Linked DNA regions of Notamacropus eugenii. The protein of the gene in region 2 purifies or fractionates together with the protein of the main gene of each other region. This does not show direct contact. Links are inferred from orthologs where the notes say so. Each region holds a gene or a part of one and is shown on either strand. Other genes may lie near its edges.

Region 1 (7,648 bases), on a different chromosome or scaffold from region 2:
CTGAACATGTCCCTGAACTCAAGATTGCATTCTACAGGAGAAATACAACATTTAAGCTAAGTAAAAATATAAGTTGTGATTTCAATAAACACAACTATGGGGTACCAAGAATGGTTCCTGTAGAAAATGACACCTGGACTGGCTCCTTGAAGAAAGTTAAGGATTTTAATAGGGAGTGATGAGAAGAGAGTTCAACTCAAACATAAGCTAAATATAAGCAAGCTGGTTCACTCCAGCAGAATAAATAATAAAATTTTAACTGATATTTATTTCTGCACTTTGATCTGTATGTTTTGACGCCTGTATAGTTTATCTCCTCTACCAGATGGTAAACTTAAGGATCATACGTAATCCTTTCCTAAGTATTCCTCATACTATTTAGTATTATTTAGTAATATTTAGGTGTTCTTCATACAATTCCTCCTCACATATGTAACTGATAAAAGTACTGCACTAGATTAGTTAACAATTACTGTGTTTTTTGTAAATATATTATTCTAAAGTAACATTTCAGATCAAATATTAAGGTTATCTTGGCCACCTGTACTACTTAAGGGGAACAATACTGGCAATAAATAAACAGCATTCGAACCTAGAATTCTTCAGAAACAAATAGGACAGGTCAGTGATTTACTCAAAACTGGATTTTAGTTTCATATAGAATAGTTCATTTTGGAGCCAAATATAATCACTCAAAAATCTGAATCATCCACAGAGGAAAGAACAGGTAGAAAAAAAAACCCTATTATCCACACAATGATATGTAACTGGGCAGAAAATCTATATAGCTTGACTATTAGCATAAATCTTGTTCATATACAGCAAATGGACAATGAGTTGGACCCAAAATTGAAAAGCAAGAGAAGTTGGACTGCTTTTGAGATGTTGCAAAGGTCTTTTAATTACCCTAAGCCTTTAAAAATACGAGTATTTTAAATATCATTTTAAAAATACCAACATTCTTCTAGTGTTGTAGTGAGAACAGTGTCATTGAACACTAGTGTCCAAATAACTGAAAATGAGACTAAGCCAAAGGGTAACGGAGCACGCCCGCAGTGAGCACAAGCAAAGACTATATAAATATACAAAAAAAAATAAAGAAACATGGAATTATAGGGAGAAATAAATTAAAGAATGTTACTAAAGAATGTATGAGTGAAAAAGATAGGTTGGGCAAATGAAGTAAGAGGTAACTGATCTGACAACCCATGTGCACGATTACAACAAGGGAAAGGAAGGGCAGCCCTTAACATTTCAGGAGGCTCTGTGTGATGTGTTTACGGTAGTCCAAGGGGCAGGAATTGCATGTAACAGGTAGGTAAGAAGGGGCTGTGATTTGTACCCTTAAAGGGAGTACCTCCAGATCCAGTATTCTCACACTGCACCCTGACCCTTCCAGAAAGCTTGATTGGGTAGCCTAGCTCTGTTGAAATTAATCTAAGAAGGTAATCAGCTTCAGTCCCAAATCCTCCTGGCCTGTCTCAAGTCTTTAGGGCTTTCTTCTGCCCCGACATGGATCATGGTCTGCCCAATTGCTCTACTAGTTCCCCTAGTCCTCCATCCACTCTAGTCCAAAAACACACCTTCTCCATATTATGAAATCCACGTGCTGCAAGTATAACAATTTATTTCAATAAATACATGAGGTTATTTATGATTTCTGCCAATGAGAAAATGAGTAATTCATTACTACTCAAAGGATCTAGAAAACAAGCTCTTGATCATTTCAAAAATTAAAAACAGCAAAAACAAGATAAAAATAAAGAGGGCCATTAATGACAGGAGAACAAAAAAAAGATTAACCCATATGTATAGATTAAATCACAAAAAAGAGCTTAGTAAAATGGTCCTTTGACATATCATACTGTAAGACAGTATGGAGGTAGAAGTATTTTGCGATTATTTGTCCTAAAGAGCTTAAACAGAATTTTTGAAGGATTAATGTATTTTTTTATTTCTCCAGTTTTATAATCGGGGCAGCATTCAGGGCTGTCCTTGCCTCCCCCAGCCCAGGCCCCCTCAGCGGGCTCTACCACCTCCCCGCCACTGGGCACCATCCTCCAGAACTCTTCGCACGTCACACCTCCCAGCCATGCCGGCACACGAATCGCCATTTATCCGCGTTCTAGTCACAAGTGCTTCTGTCATGCCTATAATTACCACACCCCCGTCAGCCTTTTCAGGCCGGTGTTGTTATGACATCTGTCGCCGTAGCCGCGCCCCACCCCCACCTCCACAGCGCAGCGTCCTGCCTTGTCTCCCCCCTCCCCCCAAAAATACCCATCCGCTCCGCTTTGGGGCCGGGGGGTAGGTGGGGGCGCCCGAACTTGTGAACTCCCACCCGGACTGTCCCTTCCTGTCTGGATTAACACGATGTCACACACGCACGCACACACACACACACACTCACATAGCCTATGACAAGCTCCTCCGGCGCCCCCCGCCACCCCAATCTACCACGCAGGCACCGCGTCTAGGCTCGCCCTCCCCGCCGTCGACGCCCCTGCGGGCGCCCAGTCCTAGCTCCCCTCCCCCACACACACCTCCTCCTCCCTTTCCTCCTCCTCCTCCTCCTCCTCCTCCTCCCGCTGCTCTCGCCGCCGCCGATCCGCCGCAGCCGGCGTTCCCGACAGTGACCAGCACCTCAGGGCCCAGCCCCAGGCCGGCAGGGCCTCCCCAACGTTGCCGTTAGCTGCGCGGCTACAGGAGGAGAAGGCGCAAGATGACAGGCCCAGGGATCGGAGCTCGCGCCCTCCCCGCCCCCGCCCCGGGGCCTCTCCCCATTCCCCGCGGGAGGACAGCCCGGAGTGGGAGGGGGGAGGGAGGAAGAAAAAGAGGGAGGATCCTGGCGGACGCCTTCCCCTCCCCAACCGCCGCCACCCGCGCGCCCACCTGGTTCCGTGGCAGCCGATCTCGAGCGAACGGTGGGTAAAGTGGGGGCGTCAAGCGTCCGCCGGTTCTCTCGACCGCACAGCTGACCTGCGGCTTCAGAGGCGCTCACCAGGCCTCGCTCGCTCTCCGCCGCCGCCGCCGCCGCCGCCGCCGCCGCGTACCGAGCAAGCAGCCAGACCAGAGAAGCCGGCGTTCGGAGCGCGCCTGCGTGATAGCAGCTTACATACGTCGGAGGTTGGGAGGGGGCGGCCGGGGGGGGGGGAGAAGAGGGGGAAGCTCAGTTTCTACGCCTGCGCGTTCCCTTTCCGCGATTAGGGTCCCGGACAGGTTTCTGGGAATTGTAGTTCCACCCGCCCGTAACAGCTTCTAACCAACAGCCCCTCCCCCTTCAGCTTGTGTTCAAAAGAAGAAAAACTAGGATCGGTCTAGCTCAGAAAAACGGATGGATTGAAGATGAAGTCTGCAGTACTCGGTTTATATTGGGGAGTGAAGGGCCTGGGGATTAGGAGAGTGATAATAAGGAGGGAGGAGCAACTAGTGTCGGATTACTAGGGAAGGGCAGGGAACAGGCCTCGCAGAAGCTACCGGGAGCTTTGGAGCCTGGGCGTCGTCCCTCCGCGGAGGAGGGAGGGGCGCTCGGACCGGCCTACCCGGCCTTTTGGCCCGTTTCACGCACTTCCCTACGGTGGATTACGGCCTGGGGGACAATATCTCTTTGCTCTGTCTGCACTCGTCCGAATACCTTTCTGCGTTACTGCTGCCTGTGTTATCCACAGCCGATGCTTGATAAACATTTGTAGCCCCGAAGTCTTGACTTTGCCCTTTTGTTTCCATCCCGGGGAGGACTCCGAGCCCTAGCTTGGTTTATAGCCCCATGTGGTGCTTGCGGCACTGAGCTGGTCAGTATTGATGTGGACCTAGAAGCCGCATCTCCCTGACTTGAGGACGGCTCTAGAGCCCCTCAGCAGGGGGCCCGACGTTTGACTGCAAACTGTGCTGCTGACCAGCCTGGAAGATCGTTCCAACGCAGATGGGATTCTGGCTGATCAGTTAGCTTCTTAGTAGGAATGAATGTCCCAGCGAATCTGGGATCTCCTGACCTTGCCAAGGTGGGGCCTACCCAGGAGACCTGTTCTGATCCCTTTCTCTTGTGTCTCTCATGTCCAGGACTCTTAGAGTCACAAAGCTTCAGAGGCGCAAGCAGGAATTCCCTTCGTCCACCCCGTGGATTCTCAGCCCCTCTGACTTAGCATATGGCTTTTGAGAATTGCTTGTAGCTGAAAAGATGGCCCATTCCCCTCTACAACATCTGACACAAGTGGCCATCCAACCTCCTTCTGAAGAAAGCTACTTGGAAGGAGCCCACTACCTCCATCACATTTTTGTAGGCTGTGTTCAGTTAGAAAAGCTTCACAATCAAAGCAAGATCCCACTCACTGCTACCTCTGCTCTCTAAGGCCATGCTAAATAAATCTAATCCATCTTCTACAAACTGGGGAATAAAATACACATTGAAGTATGAACAAGGACCTGAGGACCATCTAGGAAGTGAGCCATATCTCTTAAACGAAAGTAGGGAAAACAACACTAAAGCTTTATTTAAAATACTCTTTTACTTTAACATAGTGTCTTATGTTTTGTAAAGCACTTTCCTCACAACCGCCCTACGATAACAAATATGATTATTCAGAGATAAGTCACTGGGTCATAGTCACCCTTTGGCCACAGTTACCTATCTCTAAAGCAAAGGTTCCCAAACTTATTTGGCCTATCACCCCTTTTAAAAAAATTTCTCAGTGCCCCTCCCAGAAATCTACTTTCTTTAACCCTTTAACTTTTTTTATTTGTGTCATTTCAAAAAAATACAAAATATTTTTTAAATGACACATCTTAAATTTAATAATTTATTGTAAATTTGTGGGGGCTTTCCTTCATTGAAATTTTGATGATGCAATATTGTGTTATGTAACTGTATAGTATCATATCGTAAACAAGTCATTACCTGCACATATTCCTGCCAGCGCGTGCTGGACTTCCAGACAATGCACAATATACTCGCATGCCAATACTTGCTTATTGAGACCTGTCAGTGGATTTGACCGCTGATTGGTTGTAACTTACATTTTGTGTGTATATTTGGAAAATGTAATCTCATTAATTCTGTTACACAACAGATGAAACATGTACCAACCATTTTTCAAAATTTTCTTATCTTCTTTCCTTATGCTTTCAACACCCTTTTATTTTTATTCAATAACCCCCAATTGCACCCAAGACACTATGAGGCTAGTACTACTGGATTATTCCAGTGCCCCCTGGGGGGTGGTATGGCCCACTTTGAAAACCTCTGCATCTAAAGCATCAAAGGCAGAATTCAAACCTAGTGGCTCCAGGCCCAGCATCCAGGGGACCATTCAAGCTCTGCTGGCCTTCACTGTCATTGAGGTAGCTCTGGCCATTGGAACTACCTTCCTCTTGCTGTTCAGGACAGTAAATGAGGCCACAGGGATGAAAGCCAGGCCCAGTAGTTTTCAAGTAGTCTCAGGCCCACTGTCCAGACAAGACTTCAGACCAGAGGAAGCTGTTTTCAATGACAATAATAATTTTCAGTCCTGCCTATTATTTGTTTTGTACTTCTTTCTCCCACAATATCACCTAGTACAAATACTCAGAAGACAAATAGGAATTGAATGAGAAGTCTGTCCTAAGCGTGGGATGATGGAGGTTAAAATGACTATGTAGTACCACAGCCCATATCTTTCTCCCTTGTTCAGTCAAACGAAATTGATCCCTGGACTACCAAGGGAAGTGGAAGGAAAGAGTCTGGGGTTGGAAGCCCAAAGAATAGTGTTTGAGCCCTAGATCTGATTTAAAGGAAAAAGTCATTTAGCACACAATTTCTCATTTTCATATTCTGTAAAATAAGAACAAAAATACCTTTTCCTGATTAGCATGCAGCCTTGCTGAATTAGGATAAGGTATGATAATAAATGTAAAGGTGCTTTGAAAAAAATGTTCTTCTTCAAACAAAAGTACCCATTGTTTAGTGTCAATATGTACTCTCTGAGGACTCAAATTGGACTCTCTCCTGTAGTCAATAGTCTCTGCAGCAGGGTCTTTTCCTTTCAGTGCTGATTCCCCTGATACTGGTGGCCTGGGAAGGGAAAGATCTCTCTAAAGCAGAGGTGTCAAGGTATTCATCCAGAAGAAATCAAAGCTATCTATAGTCATGAAAAAATGCTCTAAATCACTATTAGAGAAATACAAATTAAAACAACTCTGATGTACCTCTCACACCCATCAAATTGGCCAATATAACAAAAGGAAAATGATAAACTTTGGAGAGAATATGGGAAAATTGGGATACTAATGCACTGTTGGTGGAGTTGTGAACTGATCCAGCCATTCTAGAGAACAATTTGGAACGATGCCTAATGGGTGATCAAATTGTGCATACCCTTTGATCTAGCAATACCACTACTAGCTCTGTATCCCAAAGAGATTATAAAAAAAGGCAAAAGGACCAATATATACAAAAATATTTGTAGCAGCTCTTTTTTGTGGTGAAAAAGAATAGGAAATTGAGGAGATGCACCAGTTGGGGAATGGCTGAACAAGTTGTGGTGTATGAATGTAATGAAATACTATTGTGCTATAAGAAATGATGAACAGGCAGACTTCAGAAAAACCTGGTAAGACTTAAATGAACTGATATACAGTGGAGTGAGCAGAACCAGGAGAACATTGTACGTAGTAATAGTAAAATTATGTGATGATCAATTATGATTGACTTAGCTCTTCTCAGCAATACAATGATCCAAGACAATTCCAAAAGACTCACAAGGGAAAATGCTATCCACATCCAGAGAAGAACTGATGGAGTCTCAATGCAGGTCAAAACAATGTATTTTCACTTTCTTTACTTTTTCCCATAGTTTTTCTGTTTGTAAACTATTTTATTTTTTTTGCAAACTATTTCTTCTTTTATAACATAGCTAATATGAAAATAGGTTTTATATGATTGCATACATGTAATCTTTATCAAATTGCATGCTCTTTTGGGGGGAGGGAAAAGAGGAAAGGAGAAAATTTGGAACTCAAAATTTTATAAAAAATGAATGTTAAAAACTGTCTTTACATGTAATTGGAAAAAAATAAAATGCTATTAAAAATGCTTTACTCCACATTAAAAAAAAGATTTTTATCCAGGTTTCTATTTGAGTTTCATAATACTTCTCTAAAGAGAAAATGACACACCTAATATTCAACCAACTCATGTGGGTAGGTATTGATAATCATTTAATATCAATTTAATAACCTCAATAAGGGTCACACCCTGAAGTAATCCATCTGAATGCTTAGCTTTGCTCTAAAAATGCCCTTTCCTGTGTCAGCAGCTTCAAAGACCTGTTTGTGACAGGATGTCTGTAATCAGAGTGGTGAAATTTTTCTTATCTTGGTATACAGAGACAAAGAAAAACAGATATCCTGGGTTCATAAATTCCAGCTGACACTACTTTGTCAATTGTGTTGTCAATTTGTATTTACAACTTATTCAACTGAGAAAATTCCTCCCTCATGGTATAGTTAAAGACATGGGGACCATAAATCTGAAGGACACAGACATCCTGGGATTGTCCTAAAACATATTTAAGCCTGGTCATTCTTTTATCAGTCAGTCAGAATTTATGTTTTGGCTCCTTGTACGTACAAGTTAAACTAGCTTTGGCTAGCTTTAAGGAAATAAACAATATGA
Region 2 (6,877 bases):
CAAGTTTCATCTCCTTCATGAAGCCTTCTGATTTACATTCCAGAGTCCACTGCTTTTTCTGACATACACCAACCAACTCCCCCCAATCTACCTTCCTTCAGTTACTATTAACCCAGTAATGCAATCAATAACCTTTTTCTAATGAATGTCATTAACACAGGCAAAGGCAGAGTTTGGAAAAGAATAACAAAGGGAGAAAAAGTGAAGTAGGGGAACTGAAGAAGAAACACAAAAGAAATGTATGTGGTGAAAAGTGCAGAAGTACTAACCAGTTACCTATCCCAACTTAATAGAAAGGGCTGACAGCTGGGAGAGGGGTACTTTTTACCAATGGTTCTGACATAATAATATGGGTTAACAGCTGCAATACAGCATTGTTTTGAAAAGTTACTTAATCTGCTCTCCAAAAATGTGTTCGATAGGTTCTTATTAATTACTGAAATCTGAATGAGTTGAACCTTTTGAGGGCAAAATGGGGGGTGCCTGCTCCAAGTTCTAATTCTATTGTAAGGTTTGAAGCCAATATTCATTCACCCATCAATCCCAATTTACACAAATCTGAATTCAATGAAGTGTACTTTGACGTAGAAATCAATGTAGATATAATAAACATAACAAATTCAGTGAATTATTGCAATTGTCTGAATACCTTGATTTTCTAGGACACATAGGAATATGCATCTGAAAAAACTCAAAGAACAATGAAATAAAGAACTTTCCTCTTTTAGAAACAATATAAAATATAATCTGAGGTGTGTCCTGAAGGTGAAAAAATTAAAATAAAGGTCCTATTAAAACTCAAAATGCAAAAAGAACCATTTATTATGCCAATTTTATTCAAGGAGAAAAGTAATGCAATTTTTTTCCTGCCTTTAATTCAAAGAAGAGATAAAAAATGAGGTCTAACAATATCACGGGCAAGCAAAAAAAAATATATATATATATATAAATAATTCAAAATTACCTAAATCTAAAACATAAAAATGGGAGCAGCAATAAGGGGCTGCTTATCTCCCCCTACCCAAAAAAGTTTAAGATTCCAACAATGCAACTAGGAAATTGCTAAATCTCAGGGAAATCATACTTATACTTTTCCCTCTTATTTTTCTTTAGGATTGGGGGGTGGGGGGGAACATGGGGATTAAATCAATTTACGTGAAAAACATCAAAGAACAAGCTGCAGGCACCTTTCTAAAAGCTCATGAAAACAATGCACGGTCCGTGGGACTCTTAATTGGTACAGCCACTCTCGAAAGCAACTTGGACTCCTACCCCCAAAGTTTCCGAACTGCGCATATCCTTGGGCCAAGCGATACCCCAAACCAAAAGTCAAGGAAAGAAAGAAAAGGACCCTTAGTTATAAAATAATTGTAGCCGCTCTTTCGGTGGTGCAAGCCTGGGGGGCGCCCATCTTTTGGCATGTGCACATCACCGTAATCCACTAATGAAGGAGGAACGCGTAGGTTTCAAAGAAACCTGGAAGACGTGTAGGAACTGATGCACCCCAGACTGAGCAGAACCCAGAAAACCATTTCTACAGTGACTACAACTGAGACACAAACCCTTCCAACAGTCAGAGCTCTGATCGATGCAATGACCAACAGGGATCTGAGATGATAAAAACTGTTACCTACCTCCTGGAAAAGAGAGATAGATGGAAAATAAATTGATCTCTTAGGCATAGCATTGTTTTAATTTTGCATACTTCTTACAAGGCTTTTTTTCCCCCTTCGAAAGATGGGGTTAGAGTTTTGGTCATTAAAAAGAAATTTAATTCAAGACTAAGGCAAAGCTTGTAACCACAAATAAGACGACACCCCCTCCCCTCCCCCCATTCGGAGGGCCCGTGGGGCGCGCTGTTCAGGAGCCGATTATTTACATTACGAGTCCACAAGTAGGAGATAAAAACGCGGCAGACTCGGTGAGCGCGCCCGGGGGAAGGAGCGGAAGGCTGCCGGCTCCCACACGCAAGAGTCCCCCACAAAGTAACCACCGCACACCGGAGAGGCCCGGGAGGGAGGAGCAGGGGGGGCGGAGATGGGGCTCGGCCGAGGTCGACCCAAAAGATGCAGCGCGGAGACAGCGCACGCTGCCTCCCCCGGCCCAGCCCGACCACCGCTCTCCCGCCCTGGCGCAGGCCCGCTCCCTCCACCCACGACACAGCCACCCGCCCGTGGAACTTAGAAGGCACGGCCGCGTGTCTCCGCGCGGGGAATCCCCAAGGGGGTGGGGACTCTTTAGCAGGCTACACCAAAGGTGGGAGGGGGGGTCTCCCGCACGCGGGCAGGTCAGGGCTCCGGGGTGCGGACTGGCCCCGACTCGGGCTCGACAACAGGCGGAACAGGGGCGGCGGGAGACGCTGGGCCTAGTCACGTCCGGAGCCCCCCGCCTCTCCGCCGACGCCTCGGACGACCCCTCCCCGTCCTCCCCCTTTACCTTTTCCTCCACGCAGTTCACGATGATGGACGGATACTTGCGGCTCAGCCAGCGAAAGAAAGCCGGGACTCCCATAGTGTCGGTCGGGCGCTTTTTGAGTAGGCAAGCCCGGTCCCGGGGAAAAAAGCGTAACCAGAGAGACAGGCAGCGGCGGCGGCAGAGGGCAGGCACTTCCGCCCACCTTCAGGCCGAGCGGGGGGAAGTGACGCCACGCGGCCTCCGCGGCAGAGCACGGCGGGAAAAGAGCGCCGGGGGGAGGGAGAGGAGGGAGTGACCCGACTGGGGCGGCGCCAGAAAGAGTGGGCGCAAGCCGCGCTACCCCAAAAGAGACTGTTAGGGGTTGGGCCCCCAGTCATCCCTCGTCGTTCCGGCGGAGGCCTCGCCCTGGCGGCCCGAGCTCACGGTAGATGAGGCGGGGCCTATCTGGAGCGCTTCCACCCGAGTGCCCGGCGCGCAACTGTTCCCCACCCCCGCCTTGATTGAGCGGCGCAGGTGGGAAGGAGGCCTCGGGACGGCCGCGGCCTAACCTCGCGCCCCGCACCGAGGAGCGGCTCCAGTCTAGGAAACTTGTTTGTGGGACCTAACCCTGCTGGTCGGCCAAGGAATTCGGCCATTGGGGAGGGGCCAAAAAGGACTTCTTTTGTCTGCCTTTCCGCTCATGGCGAGCCACCCTGGCCGCGCTAGCGTGGAAGCCTCAGGGATCTTTTCTGGGGGTCGAACCCGCTTTGTTTTACCTTGTTACCCCTACGTCCACCCGGAGCCTTTGAACAGTAACTTGTGGGCATCTGCGATCTCTCTCGAATAACGAAGTCGTTTTAAAGTTAAACTTGGCGATGTTTGTTTAGTTTTGAGTGGTGCCCAGTAGATAGACCCTTTGAGTGCCACTTGGGGAAATGCCCCGCCTAAGTTACAGCAGGGGTTCTGAAGCGGAGTCAAGGGAACTCTGGGTCCCTCCGGGCCCTCTCGGGGGTCGACGGGGTCAAAATGATCTCCGTAATAGTACCAAAGGTTTTAAAGCTAGATATCGAAAGCCATAACCCACGTAAACACAAAGCTCTTTGGGGTCTCGATTTTTAAGCATGTAAAAGGGTCCTGAGACCAAAAAGTTTGAGAACCCCTGAGTTACAGGATTTAGCGCTGGAAAGAAAGCATTTAGAGAATAACTAGTTCTGCTTCCGTATTTTTAAAAATAAGTAAATATGCCCGTAGAACTGAAGCGATTCGCCTCAAGCGTTGTGGCTTTAGTAGCGAGATGGGATTTAAAAGCGTGTCTAAGGACTCCCAAGTCCAGCGTTTGGGCCTTTTCTGCACTCCAAGCAAACTGCTCTACCATTCATTTTCATCTTAAAGGGACAGAATCCCCTTCTAGGTTTCTAGATATTTGTATTCATATGGTATGTATGTTTGAGCCAACGAAGTTTAAGGTTTCAAAATTTCTTTAGGCTTTTTAAATAACCGAAAACTTTTGCAGTTAATTTTATGGTAAGGAAGATGTATTTTTAAGCCATCGCAAATGTCAACAATCAGCTACTAGTTAGTCCACCCATAACGGTCTAATAAAAGCCTACTGTGTGCAGGACGCTGTGCTAAGTGCCAGGGATACCAAAAAGGCAGGAACTCACAGAAAACAAATATGTTCAAACAAACTATATACAAGATAAATAGTAACTAATTTTAATAACAAATAAGGAATAAATAATAAGAAAGACAGCTCTAGGTTAAGAAAGATTGGGAAAGGCTTCTTATAGGACTTAGGATTTTAGTTGGGACTTGAAGGAAGCTAGGGAAGCCAGGAGTTGGAGATGATGAAGACTATTCTACATACAAAGCTCTGTGCTAGGCACTAGTGATCCAAAAGCAGTCGTTCAAATTTACAATCTATTGTTGTCAAATAAGTGTTTTATTAAGTTCCTACTATGTGCCAGTCACTGTACTAAGCTTGGAGGATACAAAGAATAGCAAAAGGTAGTCCTTCCTCTCATAGTCAAATAGGACAGGCAATGCAAAATTATGTAAGATATGTACAATATTATTTGATGATAATCAGCAGAGGAAAGGCGCTGAGAGCATTCCAGGAATGAGGGACAGTCAGTAAAAATGTCCATAGTTGGGAGATGGGAATGTCATGTGTGAGGACCAGCAAGTGTCACTAGATCACAGACTTCATGGGGGAGCATAAAGAAGACTGAAAATGTGGGGATAAAATGGTAGGTTTGAAGGGCTTAGAGTACCAAAGAGAATTTTTATTCTGTCCTGGAAGTGCTAGGGAGCTGGAGTTTGTTGATTAGGGAAAAGTAGGTGACATAGTCACTTTTGTGATGTAGGAAGATCAGGGAGACCAACCAGTGGGCTATTGCAGTAGCTTGTGCATGAGGTAATGAGGTCCTACACCAGGGTGGTGACAGTGTCAAAGGAAAGAAGGAAGCATATATGAGAGATGTTACAGAGGTAAAATTGACAAACCTTTGCAACTGATTAAGTATGGGGGTAACAGTTGAGAGTCAAGAATAAAACCTAGGTTGAGGGCCTGAGTGACTAGTAGGATGGTGGTGACTGATAGGAAAAGGGGAGAATTTAGGAGAGGAAGGTAATTAATTGAATTTTGGACATGTTAAGTTTAAAATATCTACAATACACTGAGTTTGAAATGTCCCGTAGGTAGGTGGAGATGAAAATGTAGAAGGTTGGATAAGTAGATCTGAGAAGCATCAGCATAGCTAATTGAATCCATGTGAATTGATGAGATTACCAATGGAATATACTAAAGAAGACAACTCAGAACAGACCCTTTGGGGTCACCTGGGGTTAACAGGTTGACATAGATGAAGATGCAGCCAAGGAGACAGAAAAAGAGTAATCAGACAAGTAAGAGGAGAACCAGGATAGAATATTGTCGTGGAAACCTACAGACAGGAGAGTACCAAGGAAAAGAAGGTGATCTACAAGTTGGCTGCAAAGAGGTCAAGAATGAGGATTAAGAAAAGGAGAATACACAGCTAAGTATGATAGAAAATAGAATGTAGTAGGCCAAGGACATGTCCAGACTCAGTACTCCAGGAAAATTTACAGAGAAATAAAGAACATTTAGGGAGGTTAAGAGAAAGTATTATGGTAGAAGTACAACCTGAACTTAACCTTGGAGAAGAAGAAACTTTCACCATTCCAAGATGCATTCTAGTGGTGGTAGATGCCCAGTAAAATTAAGAGACAGTATAACAAGATTGAAACACACAAGTCCAATTTGATGGGAAAGTAGAAATATGGGAAGGAGGAGTAAAGTGAAACCAGCCAAGAAAGATAAGTTACCCAGAATACAGTATTCACAGTGACTGCAGCAATGTACATGGAAAGAGCAATAAACTGAAATGAACCCTGTGAAATTAAAGATCTTAGCCCTGGAGGAGAATATAATTCAAATTCAGCTTTGTTGTAAAAGTGGGAGACCGCATGTAGAATGTTGCTTGTGTTGTCAGACACGTATTGGCTTTAGTTGGCATTTTTCCTCCTTTTAAATCTTTGTTATAAGGGAAAGCTCAGTGGAAAGGGTAAAGGAAAATGTATTCAGAAATAAAATAAATGAATTTTAAAATTTTAAAAGAAAGAAACACTTAGAGAACTAGATTGTAGAGGGTATTAAAGGACCTATAGGTGTTTTATCCTGTAAATGATAAGAAGCTAATAAAGGTTTCTGAGTAGGGTCAGCAAGTCTTACATATTCAGAAAATTACTTTGGCAGCTGTATGAAGGATGGATTTGAATAGAACAGAAGTGCTGTATGCTTGCTGTGTCTTGTGTATGTGTAGTGTTTATAGAGATGGCATGTTATTTTAAATGTCAGCTTGTAAATCCAAATAAGAACTCTGAATTAATTCTAAGATACTCACATAGAATGTAAATGTATTTAGAAGGTAAAATGTATGTATGTAGAATGTAAAATCAGAGATGTAATTAAGTCCTAAACTCTTAACCAAAAAAAAAACCTCTGCATCTTTGAGTAAAACAGATGTGATGTTAAACTTTATTATCAGAAGGATAACCCATTTTAATGTTAGGTCTGCCATGAAAGTAAAGATTTTAAACACCTAAGAACTGATTTGATTGGTATTATGTTAGAAAGGAGGGAATAGGTTAGTAAAAAGAAAATTCGTAAAAATTTAGTAAACCCTGAATTAGGGAAGTTAGATCTTTTTGTTGATATAACTAACTTAAAGTTTTCGAAACATTTTACATATGTTGTCTCATTTGAACTTCACAGTAGTCTTGTGAATTAGGCCCTATTGACTTCATTTTACAGATAAGAAAACAGGCTCAGAGATGTGACTTGCTCATGGTCACATAGTTATTAAGAGACAGAGGTGAGTACAAGATAAATTAAGGGAGAGAACACTAACAAATGGGAAAATCAGGGAAGGCTTCATAGAGGCATTGGCATGTAAGTCAA
Region 3 (6,950 bases), on a different chromosome or scaffold from region 2:
TGCACACACTGTCATTTTTTAATATTATTTACAACTGCTGCTACTAGGTGAAGACAACTAGAACGTATGTTTTCCACAAAACTAGGGGGGAAGCAATACAAAATGTCTGAAAGCCAATATTTTAGAATACAAAGATAAACTTCAGTTCATGAGCTTTCTGCAGTGACCTTTTAAACACGCTCTGGCAGCTCCTGAGGATGTTTTAAAGCTGGAGGTAAGTTTGTAGGTCTCGATTCTTCATCAAGAAGCACCAAATCGTCTATCTCACTTCCTCTGTATTTTCTTTTACATATCTTTACCACCACTTTTTTCTTGAGAAATAACTTCAGGGCTTCTCTTGATGCTACTGCTTTGGCATTCTCCTTACTTTTTCCACAGCCAGTACCCAAATAAACAGACTTGCACCTCAATTCACAAACTATACTTTCTTGAGAACTCTTATTTTGAGGCAAATCTGCCAGTTCTTTTAGTGGAACAAAAGAAACATCCAATGTTGCTTTCAGAGCCTCCACAGATGCATTTAGGAGTTCTCCATGATTCACATTGGGACTAAAGCCACCAACAGCCACCAACTTCCAAGCCACCGTTTTATACAATCTATTGAAAAAAGGTTGCTTCTGTTTTACATCTTCAGTGGTTAATTTGCAAGAAAACCTAACAGAACTCTCACTTGACTGTGAAGCACTTTTGGAAGGTAACTGTGATGTGCCACTCTTAGAAGCCAGCTGGGACACACTTGCCAAGGAGGTGCTTTTGGGAGCCAACAGCGACCCACTTGGCTGGGAGCTGCTTTTGGAAGACAACAGAGATGCAGCTACCTGAGAGCTGCTTTTAGAAGCCAACAGTGTAGCAGCTACCTGGGAGCTGCTTTTAGAAGTCAGCAGTAAAGTGCTTGCTGAGGTGGTGCTTTTGGGAGTTAACATTTGCATGCTGGATGAGGAATTGTTCTTAGAAACAGATGATGAAACGCTTGACTCCAAGCTAGTTTTGGAAGTTGACTGTGATGTGCTTACATCCGAGGTGGTTTTGGAACCTAATAGGGGCAATAATTCTGGACCAGGTTTGGAGGATAACAGTGGCAACTCAACTTCTTCGCTACTTGGGGAACCCAACAATGGTACACTTGTCTCTGACCTGCTCTGAGACATCAGCAGTGGTACTTCTGTCTCTGAACTGCTCTGAGAAGCCAAAGATGAAGTACTTTCCAAAGCACTCTTTTTAGGTGACACGTTTTGTTGTTTGCAATCAGTCCCAAGACTACTAGATCTTGCCACAGATGAAATTAGTATTGTACTATGTTTGTCTGAAGTTTCCACATCTGAAACCTTTTCAGGGCCTGCTGCAACCTGAGAAGTGCTGGTGCTTTGCTTTGACCCAGGGTTCTCAACTGTCAGATCACTGGGACTATTCTGACACTTGAGTCCTGTCACCTCTTGGGAAGGTACACTCCCCCTCTCCAGAGGGCTGCTAGAGCTCCGATTTATGTTCTCTCCACTTCCCACAGATCTAGTGGATGGCATTAGCCCCCCCTTGACTTCCTGCTTTGGTGATGCCTGCTCTGTTTTGCCAGAAGTCTTCGAAGCATCCTGACCACCAGCAGAACCACTCTTTCCTTCAACTGCCCGCTTTTTGCATGGCTCTTCTACCCCATCTAAAAATTAAAAACAAACAAAAAAAAAAATGAAAAAAGGTTATTTGACTAATTCCACTTGATTACTAGCAAGCTAGACATAAAATGCAAGAAAGATGCTTAGTAAAACAAAAGCAAAAAACTTGGTATGTATAATGCCAAGGACAAAATTACTATGTAATCATGACACAAATTTCTTAAAATGAAACATATATTTGACAGTTTAAAAACAGTCAAAGGGATTTAAAATTAAGAACCAAAGAATATGTAGAAAAAAGTTTGGAACTAGTGTCCTTAAAAAAATAACACATTAAATAGTAGTTTGGCTATGTCAGAAATACAAGTTAATATGAAACATGAGTTCACAGCACTAAAATAAACTTATGTTCTATGCTCCTATATATGTTCACATCTATGATCTGCTAACCATTGCTACTCGATATCCCTCTTTTCTTCACCTTGGCAACCAGTTCATCTCTTGTGGTATGGATTGGAGCATCTGTCACTTTGATGCCTTCAGCCATACTAAGTATTTTATCCATAACTTTGGGTGGATACCTAAAAAAAGAAACACAAGTTGACTCTTCTCCACATCACATATAAACAAGTCTTCCCATCAGCCCCCGAGCCACCGCGAGGATTCTCTGCCTCCCAAGCGGCCCAGGAATGAACGTGCTCAGGGAGGGATGGACTCCGCCTTCTCTCCTCCCCCCCGCGGGGCCTGCGGGCCATTCATCCAGCTGACCGACTGCGAACACGGATGACGTCCGCGCCACAGACCCGGAGGGAGGAGGGCCGGGAGGAGCGGGCGGGGAGCGAGGGAAGGGCCTGCGGCCCGTCTGGCTCCGGGGCTCCCCCCCTCGCTGGCCGCGTTGCCCCCCCAGGCCTCGGCCCTGCCGCGGACCATCAGGGCGGACCGGGCGCGGATCACTCACCGGCAGCCCAAGAAAATATGGTTGGCCCAGGCCATGGAGGAGGAGACGAGCTGCTGCAGCTGCCGACGGCGGTCCCCGCACTCCACCGAGGCGGCTTCGGTGGTGGCGGTCGGGGCCAGGTCTCCGGCATTGCGAAGCAGAAACTCGCGTCGGTGGCGCCAGTGCTTGTCCGTTTCGCCGTCGCTGCGCAGGGTCTCCACCCAGGCGGCCACCCGGGGATTTTGGCTTAAGTACTCGGACACTTCGGAGATGGCCGCCCGCGCCATGCCCGACCCGCTTGTGTCGTCCGTCGCCAGGGCCGGCCGGGGACAAGGGACAGGACGAAGGAGGCCCTGTCACGGAGGACTCCGGTAGCTCTCGCAACCCAGAGGACGGCCGACCAACGAAAGCCGAGCCGCAGCGCCGAAACGCCCACTTCCGCCCGCCGCCAGGCACCCCCTCTCCTTTTATAACCTCTCCGGGACTCGCGCGTCGTCTCTTCCTTCCGGCGCGAGCCCCCGCCGTCGCAGGCGGCTCGGCCGCGGTCCTCGGTTCGGGTTGGCCGAGGCAGAGGAGGAGGGCGGGGCTTAAGGGACGGCCAGCCCGTGGCGGGCGGCTTGGAACGCTGAACCCGCCCCTCGGAGCGTCCTGAAAGCCGTCAGACAGACCAATGGGCGCGTAGGTGCCCACTAGCTCCCGCTTTTGTGACGCGCCGGCGCAGAGAGGCGTTCCGCTCCCGGCCGCTGGTTTCCCTGATCCGCTCCTCCCCCACTGCGGCAGCTCCGGCGGCTGGTGAGGGCGGGGTCGTTCTGCGGCTGCTGCGTCTCCGGGCAGGCGGCGGCGAATAACTCGAAAGGGGAAGTGCAGGCCTCGACCACGGCGGCCAGGGTGCTGGGGGTGAGGGTGATACCTCAGAAGCCTCGGCCCAACGCGACCAGGGGCTCGCGGCGTCGCCTCGGCCGTCGCCGCCGTCGTCAAGGGGCGGAAGTCCGGATCCTGCCGCCGCCGCCGCCGCCGCTGCCACCCCGTCCCGCCCCGGCCGCTGGCTGACCAGCCCGCCCCCTGTCGTTACGGGCCGCCGAAGGAGGAGACCCGGATGGAGCGGGGGCGGCCCTCGTCTGCTTCCCGAGCTGGGCGGCCGGGCCCGGGGCGCCCCCTGCTGGCTTGGGGGGCCCGAACCGGACGCTTCTAGGGAGCTGCGGAAGCGGAGCAGCCTCGGTGCGCGGCCCGCCGCCCCGCGGAGACCGGAGACAGCCCCGCCGGGTGTTCATTAAAGTCAGAAGCCTTTGATCCAGCCCGGAGCGCGTAGTGGGAGCGCTCCCAGCTCGTTGGAGCTTCTTCTCCCCCCGCCGCCTCCCGGAGCGCGGACGCTAGAGGAGGCCGACCCCCGCCCTTCTCCGAGGAGCTGTGCCCCTCCCACGCGAGGGCCTTGGCTGGGAGGGATGGTGCCCTTGTGAGGCGGGCCTGGGGTCCGGAGCCTGTCTGCCGCGGTGCCGAGGGACAGAAGTACGGACGGTGCGCGGAGCCGCCGCCCCGCGCTGCCCCGCGCGCCCTGTGGACTGCCGGGTGCAGCCACTAAAAGGTGTTAGGGTGAAAGGGACTGCAGAGCCGCCCTGACGTTGGCACCCGCAGCTGACACCTGGCAGGACCGAGGCAGCCGCGGCACCCCGCCTCGGGCGGCCTGGCCTACCGGAGAAGTAAGCGCAGGTGGCGGCGCGGGCGGGCGCGAGGCGCCGCTCCCAAAGGCACCGGGAGAGGCCAGGCTAGCGGCGCGGGACTGGGGGACACGTGGTCATTGTCCCATTCAGCTGTGGGTCGGCCCTGGCCTGCCTTCAGGCTCCCGGAGGGTGTCTGGAGAAGTCCCTGCTTGCTGCACCTTAGAGAGAATGCGATTGAGGGTCTCCCGTTTTAGCCCTGACTTCCTCCGGGGAGGGGGCGTGTGCCCCGCTGACGATGGCCGCCGAGGTGGCTCAGGGTCGGGATAAGGTCACTGTGTAAGCACGGGGGACACAGGGCTACGTGACGAGTGTGTCAGCCAGCCGCGTGGTCGTTGGCCACGGCTTGGAAGGGAAACGGCGATTGCCCGTAAATGCTTGTTGACCGACCAGTTCAGTTAAGTGTAGACCTGGTTAAACCACAGCGTATCCGGTCAAAACAATTTAAGTTAACACGGGTACCACAAAGGGATGCATAACTAGCGAAAAATTGTGCTTGGGTGGTATGTTGTTCAGGGAATCTCCCAGAATTTCAGCCTGCTGATTTTGAAATGAAGTGGGCCCAGCACTCCCTTCTGAAAGGACTCAACCACACTCTCATCGCATCTCTTTCCCTGATCTCACCCGCTCATAGGATTTTCAAGTATTCCTGCCCATGCCTCCTGGATCCAGCCCTGGTCTTAGGAGTTTGAATCACTGGATGCCTTAATTGTCACTTCAAGTTCAGCTTGTCTCTTCAGCCCTTCAACCCCCAAATCCAGCCGCAGTATAGTTGCTGCTGTCCACTCAGGTTTCCAAAATACTCCCGATGTGGTCTCTTGTCAAATCAAGGAGTGGGGTACTACTCGCTCTTTATTCCTGTGACTTTCAATAGAGCCCAAAACTTCATCAGCTTTTTCAGCTGCTATAGTATATTTCAGACTAATAGTGAGATTTAGGCCATGAACAAACTCTACGTGCTTTTTCAGATAAACTGCTGCCTATGCTTCCCCCATTTAGTTACTTGTGAAATCTGTTTTTTTAGTCCAAGTGTCAAGATTGTTTAATCCAAGTGTTAAGATTTATCACTATTAAATTTCATTTTAGATTCACCCTGATGTTTTAGCTTGTCAAGATCTTTTTGGATCCTGACTGAAATCCATCATTGGGAGGAATCCCTCTCAGTTTTGTGTCATTTGGAAATGCTACCCATGATTATATCTAAGTCACTTATAAAAATGTTAAGTAGCACAAGGCCTTGGGCACTTCTCTGTCCTCCTAAAGTAAATCATTGATAACTACTCCTTGAATACGTTCATTCAACCAGTTCTGAATCTCTTTGTATTATCATCTAGTACACACATCCATCTTTTCCACAAGAATTGCTTGAGAGACTTTGTCAGATACCTTTCTAAAATTTAGGTAAACTATGCCTGTAGCATCCTGCCCATCTACCAGTATAGTTGCAATGTCAAAGATAATAAAATTAGTCCGGCATGAACTTCTTTTGCTGTTGTAGTAAGGGAGTGGCAGAATGCTAACTAGGAATTCCAATGCCGGGTAGGTAGCTAGTCCTGCTAGCTACTCTCCTGGGAGGCAAGGGGGGAGGGGAAGGAGTTGCTTAAAGTTTACCTCTTTCTGCAGTTTTACTGTTTGCCCTGTAGAATGCAATTCTGAAGAACAACACCCTGGGAGGTAGCAGCAGGGTAGGGGGTGACGGGAAGGCAGGATCCAGAAAAGTAATGGGATCCCCTGTTCTGCAGTAGCCCTAGGCAGTCCTAGAGGAGGTAAAGTTGGTGGGATGGAGTCAGTCACGTCTTTCAGATAATCCCTTAGTGGATGCTGCAGAGGGGGGAGTATGTATGAGGGGGTGAATATGGAACCCTCCAGGTGAAGCAGTACCTGGTAACCTCCCAGGAAGGGTGGGAGCATGGCAGGGTAGAGAACAATTGTATTCCTCAGTCCTATTCACTACACTTTATTGGGAGTTGCAGTAGAAGCCAGAGGTCCAGCACTCTTGTAGTGCAAAGTGGCCTCCAGGAAAACTATTGGATCCTAATGATGCAGTGGCATCCAACAGCCCCAGGTAGCAGGGGACAGGCCAGGGTCAGGGAAAGGGGTGTGTCAATAGGATGGGAGACACCAGGAACCCTCATAGTGGAAGTCACACAGACTGGACCAGCCTTTACAGCAGACACCATCTGAAACTGCTTCGATAAAGGTAGACACCAACTGATGTCCCCTCACTGGGATCCTGTCTCAGTGGGTTTCTTGAGGTAACTAACTAGAATCCAACTCAGAAGAATATTAGAAAAGGCAAATTACTTTCTGACATGACTGTGTAGGTTCTCTTAATTTGTAGTGACGTCTTTAAAAATGAGATAAAACCTGAGTCTTTCTTGAGTGTAGTATTATTGGAGTAGAGATAGAGGGCACCTCAAAACTACAGAGGCCAAAGAAGTCGTTCAATGACATAGTTTGCTGCCCTAATTCATCCACAGTGGATGCCTCTTGGAATCTGACAAATAGAACCAGTTGTATACTTCATTTCTGCTACCCACAGAGAGATGCAAACTCTTATCCCTGCGCTAGGGAATCCCTTGCATTTTGGGAAAGACACAGATAAGACAGATAGATTTTAAGGAAGTCATACCAACATACAGACAATTAGGGAGGAAAAATCGCAGTACTCGAAGTAAGCAGGTTTTCTGG

Evidence for each region.
Region 1: the proteins of XRN2 (region 2) and KPNA1 purify together in Homo sapiens (affinity purification with mass spectrometry; 4 studies listed by BioGRID and IntAct, with this or other methods). This does not show direct contact. The link is inferred for Notamacropus eugenii from reciprocal best matches to the Homo sapiens genes XRN2 and KPNA1.
Region 3: the proteins of XRN2 (region 2) and CDKN2AIP purify together in Homo sapiens (affinity purification with mass spectrometry; 4 studies listed by BioGRID and IntAct, with this or other methods). This does not show direct contact. The link is inferred for Notamacropus eugenii from reciprocal best matches to the Homo sapiens genes XRN2 and CDKN2AIP.

What each region holds. Positions count from the first base shown.
Region 1 is NC_092876.1:342,693,825-342,701,472, reverse strand, and holds the start of KPNA1 (importin subunit alpha-5), read right to left. Parts: upstream 3,022-7,648; 5' UTR 2,893-3,021; intron 2,651-2,892; exon of another isoform or gene 2,544-2,650; intron 1-2,543. UniProt on the Homo sapiens protein: Functions in nuclear protein import as an adapter protein for nuclear receptor KPNB1. Binds specifically and directly to substrates containing either a simple or bipartite NLS motif.
Region 2 is NC_092872.1:597,031,953-597,038,829, reverse strand, and holds the start of XRN2 (5'-3' exoribonuclease 2), read right to left. Parts: upstream 3,012-6,877; 5' UTR 2,512-3,011; coding exon 2,437-2,511; intron 1-2,436. UniProt on the Homo sapiens protein: Possesses 5'->3' exoribonuclease activity. May promote the termination of transcription by RNA polymerase II.
Region 3 is NC_092878.1:101,852,199-101,859,148, reverse strand, and holds the start of CDKN2AIP (CDKN2A-interacting protein), read right to left. Parts: upstream 3,022-6,950; 5' UTR 2,832-3,021; coding exon 2,566-2,831; intron 2,189-2,565; coding exon 2,058-2,188; intron 1,652-2,057; coding exon 171-1,651; 3' UTR 1-170. UniProt on the Homo sapiens protein: Regulates DNA damage response in a dose-dependent manner through a number of signaling pathways involved in cell proliferation, apoptosis and senescence.